2 linked regions of the Solanum lycopersicum genome follow. The protein of the gene in region 2 interacts with the protein of the main gene of each other region in a pairwise test. Links are inferred from orthologs where the notes say so. Each region holds a gene or a part of one and is shown on either strand. Other genes may lie near its edges.

Region 1 (3,800 bases), on a different chromosome or scaffold from region 2:
TTTACGCTGATACTAGAAAAACACTTTTGGGGGGACAATAAAGAATTTTGTTTTCCTTTTTTCTTTTTTAAATGAGATTTATATATAGCCTATGAAAATTGGTTTTAGTGCTTTTATATCATTTTGGTGATCCACATCCACTTCATTAAAATATTGAAATAGTAAGCCCACATAGACATAGGATAGTATTATAGTACTTGTGACCTATTGCCACTACCAATGCAATCTAGGTAGTAGACCTTAGATGGCACTAAGTCACTAAAAACCAACTCCCCTTCCCCACAAATTTGTAATTAGAAAAACACTCTTTTCACAAAGTAGTGTTGTCTAGCCCAGATTTTCAATCCATAATACTCCTACTAAATAAAATATTTGACAAAATGGAATAATATAACCTTCTAAGATTAAGTAGGTAATATTTTTATTTACCAAACACAAGTACACAACTTGGTTTTGGTAGGTGGGCTCCACTTTTTCTTTTTTGGTGCGTTTGTGTCCAATCCGTTACATAGTTGTCTTAATTACATCGATCTTCAATTATATCCACCCAAGTATTCTTGGACTTGCCCTCTAAGTCGAGCTCAACATCTTTCTATCATGTACTTAGTTGTCTCAATATTACATTGATCTTAAACTATCATCACCAAGTATTCTTGCCCTCAACCTTTTGGTCAAGCACCACCTCGTGCGCGCTAGGTTCAAGCAACTGCATACCACTTTGGGGTGGGGGTTAGAAAGAAAGGGGTATTCATACAATGTTCAATATTATACATAGTGAAACATAATTAGAATTCAGAGTTATAATGACATATGAGTCACCACATAGTTTTCATCATACAAGCTCCCATTGTAGTTGATTACAGACTTCCAACATTTAACATAACATGTTAAGTGACAATAATTTATTAAACATAACAAGAACATGTAGTAGGTAGAGTACTATTATCATCACATATATCACTTAACATAGCATAAAAAAAGCATGAACATTCATAGGTACTCCATTCAAACTTTATTCAAATCCTGATTACAGTTGGAGATGAATCAGGCTGGCCAACTGAAGAAGACTTTGAGACATCCATGATTGCTGGTGCCTCCTCCAAACAACTTTGAGTGTCATCGCTGATCCCCTCAATAGTCATTTTCTCCACTTCTTCTTGAGTGTATATATGGATCTTGGATACTACCTCACAGAACTCACTGCGAAAAGTCATTTAGAAGGTACACAAGTTACTGATAAGCAAATCAATCTATTAAGGGAAATTATACTTTTTCGAACAACATATCCAACAAGTGTAATCCCACAAGTGAGGTCTGGGGAGGACAGTGTGTACAGACCCTTACTTTTTCCCTGAACCAAGATTTTGCTGCTCGGCAGAAGTTGCAAAATAACAAGTTCTAATTTAAGGTGTGTGGTATGAAGGAAAATGTTTTTTCCAGAAAATGCTTTCTTGAAAAAAAGTGTTTATTATTTATTTTCTTGTGTGTGATAAGTAGCTTTGTGTATAAATTCAAGGGAAACATTATGTGTGGTGGGAGTGGCGAGAATGGCGAGAATGGGGTGTGGGTGTGTTGGGAGGGTGGAATGGAGAAAATCAGTATGGTATGCTATTTTAGGAACTTGTTTTCCCTACTTCGACTAAGGAAGTCATTTTCCTCATATTTAAAGGACTTATTTACTTGAAGAAAATGTTCTCCAAATTTTTTGATCAATCAAAGACGGGAAAATTGAAGAACATTTTCTCAGAAGCATTTTTCCTCCATAATAAACACACATTGGAGGGTAAAGTGTATGCGGACCTTACCCCTACCTTGGAGGTAGAGAGGCTGTTTCCGATTGACCCTCAGCTCAAGGAAAGAAATTTATCTTAACCTGGGAGAAGAAAAGTAAAAGAATACTTAGATTTCAAGTGGAGGTTAGCTAATATCCAAAACTCCGATTTCTAGTGGAAGTCAGCTAATTGGAAGAGAAATTTGTGTGGTTCTAGTGATTCATATGCATTAATAAACCAAGAAGTAATATTTTTTGAATGTAGTATCAAACAATTGAGACAGTGATGAGAAACGGAGATGCATGAGAAAGAGACTTACTGCCATGGATCATCTCCGACAACCATCATGTCATTCTCACTGTCAGTGTACAAGATTCGCCACCCCTTGTTGGGATCTCTTAAGAGGTCTTCCATGTTGAAAAGCCTCTCCAACTCAACCAGCAAGTCGTCATAGCCATTCAATCTCGAGAGATCAATGGCTCGTCCAACCAAGCTGCCTTGTTTGTGAACCTTCACGCCATTTATTCAATATTAGCAATAGAGTCCAAAGAAAAAACAGTTCCAATTCGCTATGTGCAACTTATGGAAACTTACCTTAGTACAGCTCCTCTTACCAGAACTCTGCGAGCTAGGAGTAGATGGTTCTTTCGTCAAGGAAAAGCCAAACAGTTTACATGGAGCCTGTGCATTGAAGGAGTCGTCATTTTCATTCTTGAAATGGTTCTCTGGAATGGACACTTTAGACATCTCCGGTGGCCTCTGCTCATTTACAAACTTTGGCATTCCAACTTCTTCCCTCCTAACCACATTTTGGATTGAATTCTGGTTCAAGGTAGGATTTTCTCTTTGGAAATTAGTACTGTAGGAGGGAACCACGGGATCTTGTCCAGCTCTATACATCGCATTGTAAGGTAAAAACACATTCCTCGCCCCTTCAGAAGCGAGAGGATAGAAATTGGCTCTCGGCCTCTGATATGTGCCGAAAACATTGCAACCAAATTCAGGTTTTCCCCAAGCACCAAAATTAACATCACCTTTTCCAGTAAGGGATCTCAACGAGCAAATTTCTTGACCTTGCAAGACCTTTGGAAACCTATTGGATTCCAGAAAGCCTGTGTAGGTTGTTGGAGGCTGAGTTTTCACAAAGTCACCAACAATAATGTTCTCTACACCATTTGGCATGAGATTGTGACGAGCTACTCTTTGCAGCTCGAAATCCAGTGGGCGGACTGGTTTATCACAACCATAGGGAGGTGATATCAGACCTAAATTTTCTTGACCTTGCAAGACCTTGGAGGATCTTATTGACTCCTCAAAGTCTAAAAGAGCACTCCCTCCTGATAAAATAACAAAATCGGAATAAAAATGAACTTCAGTGGAATCACAACTTAATGAAAACACCAGCAACAACATACTCAGTGTAATCCCACACAGTGGGATCTGGGAGGGTAGTGTATACGTGTACGCAGACCTTCGTAGAGAGGCCTGTCTCCAACAGACCGTCGATTCAAGGATAAAAAAAGTCCAAACGCAGTACCCATACGACATAATGACAACATAATACAAAAGGATTTAGAAAAGTTAGATCAGTACCAGCAAAATGGCTGTCCAGTACTGATGGTGCCTGCTGACTAGTCCGCAGTTTCTTCAGTCTTGGTGAGGACTGAATGCTCAGTGGTGGTAAGGAAACTGAAGAATCAATTTCCCAAGGAGAAACCCGTTCCTGATGATTACTCATTATATCTTCATCCCATCTGACCTATTAAAGTTGATGACATAGGCACATATATCAAAAAGTTTATAAGTTGCTTAATAGGCCTTATACTTATTGTAACAGTTTTGTTTGGGAAGATAACTCAAAATATACAATAGGTGAATGTATTTAATTGTATTGCCGATAGCAAACTCTATTAGCCTTGACACGAAAAAATCAAGCAAGCAACTTATAACTAGCAAACTTTATCAGTCTTGACATGAAAAAGAAATCAATAAAGCATCTTACAACACCAGACCATTTAACAATTTCTC
Region 2 (4,075 bases):
TTGATATATTAATATAAAAATAAATTATGTATCGGTTGAAGATTCTGTATCTACCAAATTAATACACTCTTTGGACTTTATAAAATATAGTGTTCCTATTTATTTTTGGAGCTCAATTAATTCAGATTCATATAGGTAAAATATCTTTTATTATATAATTTATATAAAAATGATTTCAGTTTCATAACTCAAATTTGAAATGTTTCTCTAAAAATAAATGAATATCTACCTTTTACGTGATTCATAGGTGATCTCTATGGTTAATTCTTATGAAGTTTTTTTTAGAATAATTACATATTCGCAACACATGATTTGATTGATAATTAATTTTTTTTTTTTGGATATTAATTTCGGTGGAAGTAAGAATTAGTCCGTGTGCATGTATTTCCACACTGAATACTGTGATATGTAGTGAAACAAAAGTATATTCATATGGTATATCACTGCTTTATTATCCCCCCAATAAAAATAAAAATTAAGGTTCATCAGTATTTAATGATCCAAGAAAAAAATACATTGGACTTATAAGTGTGTTGGAGTGATACAGGAATCTTTCCATTTTTACATAAGTATGCATGAATATGTATAGCTAATTAGTGTATGCTAATTGTCTACTCGATATTATATTGTTCACCTTAATCGAGTTATAGATATTTGATAAATCCAACTTCAACATGGTGAACAGATAAGGAAAAAACTAGCTAGAAAAAATAAATTTTTTTAAAAAAGATAAGGAAAATAGAAATACAAATAATGTAAAAAAAGAACTTTTTAGTAACGTGGACAATTGATATGAAATTGAAACAAAGGGAAAGTTAGATGGTAGCCACAATTTCAGCACAACATGTTGGTTACACATATAGCCTTATTATACATACGAAAATTGTCATTTAAGAGCAAATAAGGTACTGATTACTACAATAATTAAGCTAATTAAGAGGAAATCAAATCAGAAATTGATTTTAAGTCTAGGGTGTCTTATCACACCTAAGATTACAATTACAATTATATATTAATGTAAAAATATAGCTTGAATCATCCACTCTATTTCTCTTGAGACATTCCCTTGAGAAAGTCTCTTGCTCCAAGCCCTATCACTTTTGCCTCTGATCTCTTCATGATCCTTAGCCTTTTGCATGATTCACTGAACATTCTGCTAAATCAAATTCCAATTAATACGACTTCTTTTGATTTTTTCTAACACTACAAAATGTTTGATGAGTAACCGATCAAGGTTGTTATAGTGTGGTAGGTAGTAATTTATTCTTAACCAAGAGGTTTCAGATTTTAGTTGTCTTGGGTATAAAGCTGCCTTTGTTAGGAAGTTTTAACCTTCCTGGCACGAATCCCTATTTAATCGGGTTTCAATGTTCTAATTTATCGGCATAATGATGTTTTGATCTATGCCTTAAAAAGGACAAAATTGATCCATCAGTGAATATATGCTAGTTTAAATCACCTAAATTTGACTAAATTGGTCAATTTATGTACTATAAGCTAAATTTTACACCCCTTTTAACACATTAATTAGTTTAGTTTTACAATTAATTAAAGAAGATTCAATTAGGGATAAGGTGCCCGAGGGGCAGATCGCGTTAAAAAATTACTAATATATAAAATTTGAACTTTTTTTAACATAAGATTAGAGGTCGACTGAATTTAAAATTCAGTCGACAATTTCAAAATTCAAATCTCAAGTATTATATTAAATATGTTCCTAAATTAATAAAAATTCTGAATCTGTCGTCTCGAATAGAACATAAAGAGAAAGTGAAATACTTACATCCATGGAACATCGCCGACAAGCATCCAATCTCCATCTTTGTCTTCATAGATTGGAACGAACTCTGACTTATCTGCATCCTCCAATGCTTCTCCTGTTGACACATTTAAATACAAATTTAACATATATAACACTAGCAATTAAATTGCTTATATTTATGAAAAAGATGCTCGATTTATGTTTATTAGTATAGTACAGTAACCGTACATTTCAATAATAATAATTTCACTTTGCCTAAATAAATGCATGTTAATATAGAAAACTGAAATACTAACCAATTCCATAGCAATCAAAGAGTTTTTCAAGAGCCATAACAAGTTGATCATAACCCTTATGAGTACTCAAATCAACTTTCCTCAAAAACGGTGCTCCATCCATGCTAACTTTGACGTACATTTTATTATTGGATTCAGCTTCACGTCCGTTAAAACTGTTCTTTTTCCGGTAAGCACACACAGGAGGCCAACCAACAACTTCGTTCTTGTATTGACACTTGTAATTATTAGCCTCAACGTTGTTGTTGTTGTTGCTGCTGCTGCTGTTTCGATCACTAGTAGTAATTTCCGAATAAACCCTTTTCTTTTCATTTTTCTCCAATATTCCTCCTGGAAGTCCCAATCTTAGCTCAGTAATTTCCAATTCTGTTGCCATTTCGTATTATGTTTTGAAGACTGGAAAATTAATATATTGTTGTTTTGATGGAAAAAATGAGTGTGTGTGTTTATGAGTATATATAGGAAATAAATAATTGAGAAGACAATGGCAGGTAAACTAAACTTAATGGTCGGTCACATGAGATACAAAGGTAGGGAAAATATATATGTTAGGTATGTAATTTAAAACATTAATAATTTGTGGAGATTTACTTGTGACCGTTTGATATGGTTAACAAAAGACATGCCATGTGATGAAGTGTTCCCAATATGTTTGTAGACACATTAATATACGCGTGCAAATAAAGGTACATATATACATGTAATTATTTCGAGTTGGGATAAAATTTTTGCAAGTACGGATAAGGTATGTGTATATATTAATCTCTTCAGATTTTATATACGGGTTTATATTGGGTAACTTATGGATTGGCCGAATCAAGTTTGGTTTAAAAGCTATTTACGTGATTGACAATAGAATCTTGTTTAATAAGTGGAACGCAATAACTGTCCGCTATCAGGTTGGACAGTCAGGGTAGGAGAAGGGCAATGACTCATTCTTATAACCAGCGTTTTTAAGAACAAGAAGTCGGGCGGAAGGGGGAAAAGCCCTACGTTCCTGGTTCTCTTTATAGTTGAATCCAAGTCTCTTGCCACCTAAAACTCTGGCAAGAAAGCACTGCTTTACCTTTGATCCTATGTACCTTCTCTCTCATTAATTTTAAGAAATTTATTCGTACAAATTATAAATTTTGAAGTCAATAACTTGAAAAAAAACTAGAATTTCATATTCATAAGTACTTTAAATTATGATTTCGTCTCTAGCTAAACAAATCTTTTAATTGGACAAGAGCCTATTTGGGACTAAAATCAAACAGGAGGGCATAATTATTCTATTTCACTAGTTAAGGGGCAAATGTGACCTTTTGTCAAAACTAATACAGTTAAATTTAAGTTAAATTAAGTGTTATGTTTATTTCAAAAATTTTACATATATAGTCATGTATTTGAATTAGGATTGACAATTTCGAAACCAATGAATACACATATTTCTCTTGAAAAAAAATGATAGTTTACGAAAAAGAATACCATAATTTATTTATTTTTTTGTCTCCGTTATAATTTTCTAATACACGGACAATTAATTTTTTGAGGAACATATCCAATTATAATAGGGTATATGGATATTTGATTCTTGCAGAGAAGGCAAATTTCTGCGAGATAATATTATTATTTACACATATAATAAGTAGCATGTTATTAAAGGAATATAATTTCTCCAATTATAGACAATCAGTTTATACTACATTATAACAAGAAGATACCACGATGAGAATATTTTGCAATATTGGGACATAGAAATCTTACTTTGAATCCCTTAGATTAGAAATTAATACATAAATATAACTATTGTCTAGTCAATTATTTACAAATTATAGTTGGTCTTCTATCAAATATATAAATTCAACATTTTAATTAAGTAGACATTCTCTTGCATGTGCACGTATCTTATAATAATTGATACGACCGATTATTATTCAACTACAATATCATGTAATATTAACTAACAAATTTTACTTAATTCACATTGTTTGCAACAAATTTTAAACATATAGATAAATCACACAAATAAAATCAA

The links. The genes of interacting proteins can lie anywhere in the genome.
Region 1: the proteins of IAA19 (region 2) and ARF4 interact in a two-hybrid assay, tested with the Arabidopsis thaliana proteins (2 studies listed by BioGRID, with this or other methods). The link is inferred for Solanum lycopersicum from reciprocal best matches to the Arabidopsis thaliana genes IAA19 and ARF4.

The regions. Positions count from the first base shown.
Region 1 is NC_090810.1:59,239,675-59,243,474, forward strand, and holds the end of ARF4 (auxin response factor 4), read right to left. Parts: intron 3,532-3,800; coding exon 3,366-3,531; intron 3,110-3,365; coding exon 2,367-3,109; intron 2,283-2,366; coding exon 2,092-2,282; intron 1,201-2,091; coding exon 1,017-1,200; 3' UTR 748-1,016; downstream 1-747. UniProt on the Arabidopsis thaliana protein: Auxin response factors (ARFs) are transcriptional factors that bind specifically to the DNA sequence 5'-TGTCTC-3' found in the auxin-responsive promoter elements (AuxREs). Could act as transcriptional activator or repressor.
Region 2 is NC_090802.1:65,646,169-65,650,243, reverse strand, and holds IAA19 (IAA19), read right to left. Parts: upstream 2,481-4,075; 5' UTR 2,435-2,480; coding exon 2,059-2,434; intron 1,878-2,058; coding exon 1,784-1,877; intron 1,154-1,783; coding exon 1,045-1,153; 3' UTR 862-1,044; downstream 1-861. UniProt on the Arabidopsis thaliana protein: Aux/IAA proteins are short-lived transcriptional factors that function as repressors of early auxin response genes at low auxin concentrations.